Linked DNA regions of Arabidopsis thaliana. The protein of the gene in region 1 purifies or fractionates together with the protein of each later gene. This does not show direct contact. Each region holds a gene or a part of one and is shown on either strand. Other genes may lie near its edges.

Region 1 (5,117 bases):
GAATGTATTTAGGTCCTATATAGACTTGTCACTAACATTCAATGTCCAGGAAAAAAAAGAGGACATGAATTAAGCCGTCGATAATTCATCAGGAATTAGAAGAAAAAAAAAGAGTTATCAACAATACCCAACAAATCATTATCTTCTGCAGCTATATTTGCTCTTTTATAGAAAAAAAATTATATTTAAAAATAAAATTACAAGATAAATCAAAGTGACTGCAAGTCTTGGAGAAAAAACTCATAGAATAGGGTTTTAGTTTTAGATAAAAACCTATGAAATAGGGTTTTACGTTTTCTTTTTTTGATAGGCTAATAAGGTTTTATATTTGGATGAACTGGTAAATAGTAAAAATAGCATAATTAAATAATAATAGTAAATTAAAAAATAAATGTTACGTAAAATTATTACGTAAAATTAATTCAAATTATTAATTTAGTATTATCCCATTGTTCTAAATCGCATAAAAACCATGGAGTATATTATTGCGAGATTTTATTCTATAATACTATTCTTAAGCTGTTTATTTCACAATTGCGAAATCTTTTGTATTTTTTTCATATGGGCCAAAAGAATACCCAACAAAGCTTTGGCCCATATCTGAAAAAGTCTACCAAAAAATTCGAGTTGTTGTTGTCTCTCCACTCTCCACTCTCCCGTTACGAAAGGAAACCAAAAGAGGTCAATTATCAAAATGATTGTTTATATCTGGTCAGCAAATCAGTACCGACACATCATGGGCACATTAGGAAAACTAAACCTCAAGCTCATGAGGTTATTAAAAGTTCATTTTATAACAAAACTTCTTTATTCGAAACAAAGCTTTCACTGATTAAACCAGCTGAGAAAAGACCGGTTTAAGAGAGGCATGAGTAAGCGAGGTCCTTCTCTTCCTTCAACTCCTCTGCTGTCAAATCCATCTTCTTCCTCGATGCGTCATCAATCGGTAAACCTGTGAATAACAACAACACATATTAGACCAATATCTAGTTCTATGAGCTAATCATCGCAGCGAGAACCAGCCTTGCACACTTAGGATTAGAAGTAGACAATCCAGTTTACGGTTCCGTTACACGGGTCAGCTTTAGGCTAGGATTCTCTTAAGAACATTGTGTATAACTTTTGGTTACGAGAAATATATTTACCTTGAACAATGGTCCACTCTCCATTACGGCAGGTTACGGGGAAGGAGTAGATAAGTCCAGCTGGAACATTGTAGGATCCATCTGAGTATACTCCCATTGAAACAAATGTGCCCTGAGAAATCAAGTCGAAGAACATATTAGTTTTACTTAGTACACAAAACAACCAATTGATTCGAGATAAAACAGTAGTAATGACGAACCTCAGGTGTTCCAACAACCCAATCACGGATATGGTCACAAGCTGAGCTAGCTGCAGAAAGTGCACTAGACAGCTTCCTGGCCTTGATAATGGCAGCACCACGTTGTTGAACGGTAGAGATGAACTCTCCATTCAACCTACAACATTAGTTGCTAACATACATGAGCATCACATTCACGAAACTAGATTGAGATATTAAAAGGGTGTTTTAGAGATTTTTACCACTCGTCATTCTTGACTAGCTCACGCACTGGCTTCTCTCCAACGGAAGTCTTAACGGTAGCGTGGTTGACATCTGGGTATTGGGTTGATGAGTGGTTTCCCCAGATAATCACGTTCTTCACATCAGACACTGGTACGCTTAACCTCTCAGACACTTGTCCCAATGCCCTGTTGTGGTCAAGCCTGGTCAAGCAAGTAATGTTCTTCTCTGGGATCGATGGTGCAAATTCCTTCAGGATCAATGCATTGGTGTTTGCAGGGTTTGCAACAACCAGAACCTACAAAACGAAGAGATAGCAAATATGAAATATCTCATACAACAAAATAAGAGATTAACTTGCTTAATTTCTGCATAATGATCATAAGAACGATTCGAAAAGACTTATCACCTTGCAGTTTGGTGCAGCATGCTTCTCCAAGGCAGAAGCTTGAGACTTGTAAATGGAAACGTTCTTGGACATAACATCCTTCCTCTCCATTCCTTCCTTCCTCGGGAAACCACCAACCATGACAGCAACATTAACACCGGTACACGCTTCAACAGCATCAGTTGTAGCCACCACACCTTCCACAGAAAAAACACCAACATCACATTTCAGCCTCAAGCAACATACCATATTCCAATACGAGCACAGTAAAAATATATACTAGAATAAAAACTTACCCTTTAGAAGAGGGAAAGCAGCATCGACCAATTCCATCTTCACACCGTTCAAAGCTTCTGCTGCAAAAGGGATGTCAAGCATGTGGAGGATCACAGGCTGATCAGCACCAAGCATTATCCCCCTTGCAATCATAGGAACAAGAGCATATCCGATTTGTCCTGCACAATAACAGAAACACACTTAAACATGATCTACACACAAAATTACAAATCAATCGCCAAATAAAGCTTACAAAATCAGAACAAATCATGATAAAATCAAATAACTGATCCAAAATGACAATTACATCTCAAAATGTAACAGGATTCACCAAATGATCCAATCAATTTCTCTCTTCAGATCTCACTATAGGAATCGAAAATATGATTCAATGATCGTTTACATTTTTGGATTATGAAAAATTGGTGTTACATAAAGATCTGACGATACGAATCAATAACGAGAGATGGAAGAAACAAGATCGGAGAAATAAGAATTTTACCTGCAGCTCCGGTAACAAGAACACGAACTGGTTCCTTCGCCATCTTATAATCGAGATCGGAAAATTATCGCCGGTGAAAAAAAGAGAGAGATTGTGAATGATCAGTGAGAGAGCGTGAAGGTATGAAAGCAGACCTGTGTGTTTATTTATTGGTGATGGTGAAAGCTGAGATGATCCATGGATTGATGCCCACGTTATCGAATCATCTCGAACCAATATCATTTTGGGAAGTTATAATGGGCCAATTTAGTGTTAAAATAAGCCCAACTAATTAAGCCCATTTAATGTTTAGACGAGTTTATCGTACCGACTAATTTGGTAAAGCCCTAATTAAATGGGGATGTTCAATGTTTACTTTTTTCATGTTTAATTAATATTTTCTTCTTTTGTAAGTGGTGTCTGAATATATAAAACTAAAGTTCTAGCTGTCTTTGTAGAAAATGCATGTCATTATATGTTTGACACTGTTATTGAAGAAATGGTCTAAACAAAAAAAGAAGATAATATAATATCAATCGAAATTCGATTCTATTATATTACTTTATTCTACATAATAAAATATTTTATATCAGGGTTTATCGAGTTAGTAATAATTTTTCTTATTACCAATAAAAATTAAAAAGCAAATTTAACAATCAAGTGATTATATAGTATTTTATAAATAGTACCAATTTTTTTTTTATGGTGTATCTGATAGTTTCGAGACAAATTTTGTTTTGTTTACTTTTAAAAATATATTATCAAATACTCATTTTTTGGTAGAATATTATGTTTTTTTATGATATTTTTTATGTAATAGTTTCAAATCAAATATCAATATTGCTTGAGGCCTACCAAAAAATAATCAATATTGCTTGAGCGGAAGAAAATAAAGATGCTAGAAAATATTAAAATCCAACTAATTTTATGTCATTAATTATCATCTTTTTCATATAGTGACGTTACTGTTTACAGTTAATGAAGAATAAATCAAATTTGGAGAAAAAGAAAACAAATTAGTTAAGCAAAAAAATAAAAAGTTGTAAAAAATTAGGGATAAGGAAAGAAAATCTCAAAATCTCTTCTTCAAGGCCGTCTCGTCAGATTTCTTTTTCATTTTTCTTTTAACGTTTGGTTTCGTCTCTAATCCATTATCTTCCTTAAGAAAAAAAAAATTCAGCAAAAAAAAAAGAGAAAAAAATAGTGAATCAAGCTGTCTCGTAGCAGTCTTTATAGATCAAACGATAATCGAATCCAACGACCCATTTTTTTTTTTTTTGGGTCTGATTTCGTCTCTCTTTGTTCTTTTCACCTTTTTTTTTTGTTTTGGTTTTGTCTCTTCCGTTTCATTTTGTGTTTCTTCAATCTGATCTAAAGCTTTTGTCTGAAAAAAAGTGTCAGACTTTCTATGAAGATGTTGTTGGTCAATGGGTGATTTTTAGTTTGTGTTAAAGCAGAAGCATAAGATTACTTGGTGAATCGATTACAATTTTGATTTGATTCAGATATTTGAAGGGTTCTTACTAGAATTTGAATTGGGGATCTTTGAATTTCGATCAGGCTTTTAGAGAGGTAGGGAACATTGAATTGAGATCTGGGTCAACTTTTGGTTTTGTTGGGGATTAGTTGTTTTAAGAGATCGAAGAAAGGAGGAAGCTTTTTGATTTGGTAACGATGGATCGTGTGGTTGGTGGTAAGTATAAGCTTGGACGTAAACTTGGAAGTGGATCATTTGGTGAACTTTTTCTAGGTAATGTGATTTGAAGTTTCTTCTGTCTTTTGGTAATTCCAAGTTTTGCTTTTGTAATAACTCTTTTGTTTTCAGGGGTTAATGTACAAACTGGAGAAGAAGTTGCTGTGAAGCTTGTAAGTCTCAACATTTGACTATTACCCTTTTCAATTCAGTAATGTGTAAAAACTCATTCTTGATTACTAAAACTTTGGTTTTTTTCTTTGTAGGAACCTGCGAGAGCTAGACATCCTCAACTTCATTATGAATCAAAGCTTTATATGCTTCTTCAAGGAGGAAGTAAGTTTTGCCTTTTGTCGGTTTAAACCTTCAGTTATCGTTCTTTTATTAACTTTTACATTTGTGTTCTTGAAGCTGGTATTCCACATCTAAAATGGTATGGGGTTGAGGGTGAATACAACTGTATGGTGATTGACCTTTTGGGTCCGAGTATGGAGGATTTATTTAATTATTGTAGTCGGAGGTTCAATCTAAAGACGGTTCTAATGCTCGCAGATCAAATGGTACGGATATATTATCTACCTTTTCTCTGATATGTTTGAGTTATTGTGTTGCTCATGATTTGATTTCTTCAGATCAATAGAGTTGAGTATATGCATGTCCGGGGATTTCTTCATCGTGACATAAAGCCTGATAACTTTTTGATGGGTCTTGGACGCAAAGCGAACCAGGTGAG
Region 2 (5,331 bases), on another chromosome or scaffold:
TTCTTGGCCTAGTGGATTACCGGAAATTCCAAAGAAATCTAGGAGGAAGAAGAAGTCGACGAAAGAAACCGCGGTTAATGGAGGGTCATCAAGATCGACAAGAAGATCTGATGTCGATAACATGTCGGAATATATGTCTGAGACTGGTTCTGTGAGATCTATGCCTCAATTCGACAATAGAGATGATTTTTGAAAGGAGAGACGACATATATAGAGACTTTGCTGCTAGCTCCAAATGGCTAATTTTCATTGAACACAACACACCAATTGTTAGATTTTCTTGTTCATTCTTGTACTATTATTAACTATGCAAGGAGAATTTAGACAAATATTTTTCGGTGCTATCATCCAAATCACTTGAACATAGATCATCATTGACGTCGATCATAAATATAAAAGAGCATTCTTACAGAACAAATCAACAGCATCTTTCACTTTACTAGAAACCCTATATATGAATAAAAACTTCTTGGACAAGAGCTGAGTAGTGTTAGTGTGATTTTCCTCTTCATCATAGCCCTCAGCAATAGAGCTGCATCACTACAACAATGGAGCTGCAATCCTGGTCAAAAGTTTTTGTAAATAATCTTCTTTCCTTTTGGTAATATAATTAACATTCTATCAAAAAATAAGTTTATCGTTTTGACCGTTAAATTGGAAACAGAGGACAGCTCTGTTTTGTGAAAGCCTTTTGTAGAGAGAGGGATTAATTTTGTTGTTTCAGTGACAGCTATAGTGTGGCTTCCCACAAAAACGATTTTTATTCATGATAGGAACAGTACGTATGAGATAAACTTGAAACCCTAGTATCAACCATATGAGTTGGTTAAATACAAAAAGATATTGAGAATTCTGATTTGAATCTCTTTGGATGGATCACACAAAAAAAGGAGACCAGTTCATTATTGATCTGTTTGAGGAAATGATATCCGCAAGAAAGTGTAAATTGGGCGTCAACCACAAAACAATTAACAAACCGGCTTTTGGTATATATAGAGAGATTAGTGAGCTAAAGCTTTAACCGCTTTCTCAGCTGCATCATCCAAATCATCAGCTGTTATGAGTTTCATTCCACTTTCCTTGAGGATTCTCTTTCCCTGCTCAACATTCGTTCCTTCTAGACGAACCACCACTGGCACTTTCAATGCGACCTGTCCTCGCCATTCCACACAAACACTCGGATTTATTTTCAATCATGAATATATGAAATATTATGGTAACAAGGTTGTTTCTCACTCACCTCTTTTGCAGCGTTCACGATTCCACTAGCAATCACATCACATTTCATTATCCCACCAAATATGTTCACCAAGATTGCTTTCACTTTATCGTCCGATGTCAGTATCTTAAACGCTTCCACCACCTTATTTTTTGACACAAACCTCTATTAAAATTGGTTTTCATTCCAATGATTCCCAAAAGTGAAGAAAGAAAGAAGGTTCCTTTTACCTGGTGCTCAGAAGCATTTCCACCAACGTCAAGGAAATTGGCGGGTGTTCCACCGTGTAATTTAATGATGTCCATGGTTGCCATGGCCAATCCAGCACCATTCACCATGCAACCAATCTCTCCATCTAAACCGATGTAGTTCAGGTCAACTTTAGCAGCAGCCACCTATGAGACACAACACACTATTCCTTTTAACATCCTATCGAATTAACATAACAATGGCTTTCTTGATGATACAAGAGATAGACAGAGACCTCTCGTGGATCCTCCTGTGTTGGATCACGCATGGCGAAAACCTCTTTTTGTCGGAACGCAGCATTATCATCGAAGTTCAATTTGGCATCAGCAGCTACCAATTGATTAGTTGATGTCTCCGCAAGGGGATTGATCTACAAGAGAAATTTGGAGGTTCAACAAAAGATATTTATAACTGAAGAAGTGTGTAGAAAAAAGACAGTGAGAGAGAACTCACTTCCAACATTGTGCAGTCAGTCTTGCGGAAGAGTTCGTATAGCTTCTTCACTTGTTCAATCGAATCTTTTCTGTCAGCAGCTTTGGGAGCCAGACCATCCACAACCTTAGCAGCATCTTCATCAGTGATTCCTGCAAATACATCAATTGGTACCTACGCAAAACCATGACTTGAGGTGTCAAAAACCCGCATGAGAAAGAATCTCAGAATGATATTTACTGGAGATCAGACCACCAAATACGAATCAAACAGTAACAACCTTGATGATCATGTCAGGGAACTTCTCAGCAAGATCTTCAATACTGGTACCACCCTTTTTACAGGCAATGATCAACTGATATAGGAAAGGAAAGCGTTTTAGATATTACAGCAGGGTATGAAAACAGCATGCCTAGAAGTAGGGAAATGAATAGCAGCAGCTCATCATTTGCGTAGTAGCATACCGGTCCAGCAGATTTACGGTCCAGAATAATGGAAAAGTACATCTCATTGACGAGTGACAATTTCTCACACAAGTAAACCTGCTCAAAATGAAGACACAATGAATAAACAAAGGTGCAAGAGCAGTGACAATAATAGAAGAAAAAACACCAATCATGAATAACAGATAACAAACCTTGCTAACTACTTTGCCTTGAGGACCAGTTTGCTTGGTGACAAGTACTTGTCCTAGCATCTTTCCTACAAGTAATAAAGATTTGAAATAGATCAATAACTTGTACAACAACAACAAAAAACAGACTCCAGAAAGCCACAAACAAGAAATCCTGTACAATACCAGCAATCTCTTCAGCCTCATCACGTTTAACAATGTGAACACCACCCTTAAGACCACTCTTGAATGTTCCAAGACCTCTTCCACCAGCCAAAATCTGGCTCTTAACAACCAACTGTATCACACGAAAATGACACTCTTTCAATTAGACAACAACTAATAATAGAGATTAGAATCGAATCCCTCACTGAATTTACCTCGCTTTCATTAGGGAAAACATCTTGAATAGCCTTTTTAACTTCTTCCAACGAAGAAGCAGCTACTCCTTTCGGCACATTAACTCCATATTTCCCCATCAATTCAGCTCCCTGGTTGTATCAGAATCACAATACAAACTTTACATTATCCTAAACCCAGAGAATTCTATCAACCACAAATCAATCAGTGGATCAACACAGAAACAACAGACAAAGACACAGATCGTACTCGAATTCTGACTTGACAAAAGCGAATCTAGGCAACTATCAAATGGAAATGAAGAGAAGAAGAACCTGATACTCGTGGATGTTGAGACGACGAAGCTGTTGGTTCTGCCATTTCCCGGAGATGGAGAGAGATCTGGACACGAGCTTGTTCACCAATCCCCTCATCGTTGGATTTGTTAGTAGTCGAAAAGTAGCCCAAGAGAAAATGAGAAAATGTAGAAAGAGCAGAGAATAGTCGCAGCTATGAATGATCGAGTCTAACCCTAATTTTTTCCTACTTTATGAATTTTCAATTTAACCCTCTCTATTCTTCTATGTCGCCGGCTCATTTAATTCCAAAATATTTTTGGTAACTCTTGTTAGAAAAAATCTAAGATTTTATTTTCAAAAAGTCTATATATGAAAATACCAAAGTACCATTTTAATTCACTAACAATATAACAATAAAAAAACTAAGCAATACAATTTTTCAATAAAAATGCTAACCCACTAGAGATTGACATCAGATATATCGCCGGATAATTTTTTCCTTTATAAATCTATAATTTTATTGTATATAACATCGACTGATTGTGTATTATTTGTAGTATTATTTTACTTGTATATGACTAAATATTTATATGAATAAATTTTATCCGACTTATCGACAAGACAAATTTTTAGTTACTGTATTTTAGATAATAATTTTCAGTTTATTTGGTTTTTTAATTTCCAGTTATTTAATTTTGAGTCTAATTAAAATAAAAAAATGATCATTTATTGTTTTCTCAATACATTTGATATTATTTACTTTCTGAAAAAATGAGGATACTTACAAAAGTTTCAATTATTTATTATGTACTTATGATATTACTGTTATCATCACCAAAATGAGCTAAGCCAAAAGCTTTAGTATTACTGTAAGGAATCTTCCACCGGTACGGTTGAGTAAGTTGAGTAAACCGGGATTACTCAAAAAGAAAAAAATTGTTGTCATTGGAACATAAGCCCCGTTCAGTTAGTCCGATGAGGACCAAGTGAATAACTGTCGTGAATCGAACGGCCATGATGTCATCGACGGAGAGACAACAGAAGCTCCACACACGCGTCTCAGCTTATAGAATCTCTCCACCGCATGATTCTCTCGTTACCGAGGCCGCATCTCTGCGAAAAGTGGCCCGGGGACTTTCCTGGGTCGGAACTTAGACAAGCCCATGTGACCCATTCACTTTGTCCAATGACTATTGTTACTTGTTTTCGTTTTCGACTAAATATATACACAACTGATATTTTGAAACTACCGATGTGGGACAAACCCCCCAAAAATATAAACATTCTTCTAAATCTGACCAAAATATAGTAATTTAGTAAAATTCGACTAAACAGTCTACTCAAAACTCATTGCTCTGTGTATTTATTAGTCCACATGATTATTCTCTCATATAAGTTAAATTGAATGTGTATACAATAAACCTATAAACTAACTCTAAAACGAACTTCTCAAACTTTGAAATGAACATGTTTTAGAAAGAATGCAAAATATGGTACAACCTTGACGCATTAGATCAAGAAGGTGGCTTCAAGTTCCTAATTGCAGCGGCCATGATCTGAAATAATTCCACATGTGAAATAAAATCAGACAACAACAAAGTCAACAATTATTGTTGTAATTATCGCTTAATGTAAGATAATAAACGTACCCGGGCAGATCCAGGATCAAACCTTCTTTCACCAATTCTTGTATTCCTGTCCTCACTCTTTGTGACTGCACTTCTTTGACTAGATTCAACTTTGCTGCTGCTGTTGCTGCTTTCACTACATACTTCTTCACCCATCTGTGTGCCTCTGTTCTTGCTTCTTGTTCTATAAGTACGGTCAGACGTTCCACCAGAACCAAGAACCGGGTTATCTAGGGATTCTGCTGCTTCATCTTCAATAACTTTGCTCTTGCTTCTTGTTGTGTAATCAAATATATTATTTGTTTGGAGACTTTGTCCCTTCTTAGAAAATTGTGTCGCCGCTGCTTTTGCACCGGCGATTGCAGCTGTGAGGCTGGTAACTTGCTTGATTGCAGCTGTGAGGCTGGTAACTTGCTTTGAATCAAGTTCTTTCTTCTCTTGCATTGTACAAGGAATAGAACCAGGTTTTAAGGAAAACGGGTCTTTTGGGTCAGGAAGAGGGAATTTCACCTTAAAAGAGTTTTGAGAAGGCATAAGACCTCTAGCTGCTGC

The links.
Region 2: the proteins of c-NAD-MDH2 (region 1) and AT2G20420 fractionate together in Arabidopsis thaliana (co-fractionation; one large-scale study listed by BioGRID). This does not show direct contact.

The regions. Positions count from the first base shown.
Region 1 is NC_003076.8:17,388,190-17,393,306, reverse strand, and holds c-NAD-MDH2 (Lactate/malate dehydrogenase family protein), read right to left. Parts: upstream 2,927-5,117; 5' UTR 2,756-2,926; coding exon 2,713-2,755; intron 2,390-2,712; coding exon 2,231-2,389; intron 2,132-2,230; coding exon 1,956-2,131; intron 1,845-1,955; coding exon 1,567-1,844; intron 1,482-1,566; coding exon 1,346-1,481; intron 1,258-1,345; coding exon 1,146-1,257; intron 953-1,145; coding exon 858-952; 3' UTR 566-857; downstream 1-565. Other genes in the region: ckl8 (casein kinase I-like 8), read left to right, coding at 4,366-4,441, 4,517-4,557, 4,651-4,720, 4,796-4,944, 5,017-5,112.
Region 2 is NC_003071.7:8,803,529-8,808,859, reverse strand, and holds AT2G20420 (ATP citrate lyase (ACL) family protein), read right to left. Parts: upstream 3,519-5,331; 5' UTR 3,287-3,518; coding exon 3,188-3,286; intron 3,005-3,187; coding exon 2,894-3,004; intron 2,812-2,893; coding exon 2,700-2,811; intron 2,603-2,699; coding exon 2,538-2,602; intron 2,443-2,537; coding exon 2,365-2,442; intron 2,256-2,364; coding exon 2,181-2,255; intron 2,075-2,180; coding exon 1,922-2,074; intron 1,839-1,921; coding exon 1,704-1,838; intron 1,615-1,703; coding exon 1,450-1,614; intron 1,364-1,449; coding exon 1,241-1,363; intron 1,152-1,240; coding exon 1,002-1,151; 3' UTR 689-1,001; downstream 1-688. Other genes in the region: RIC6 (ROP-interactive CRIB motif-containing protein 6), read left to right, coding at 1-193; AT2G20410 (RNA-binding ASCH domain protein), read right to left, coding at 4,666-4,707, 4,801-5,331. UniProt on the Arabidopsis thaliana protein: Succinyl-CoA synthetase functions in the citric acid cycle (TCA), coupling the hydrolysis of succinyl-CoA to the synthesis of ATP and thus represents the only step of substrate-level phosphorylation in the TCA.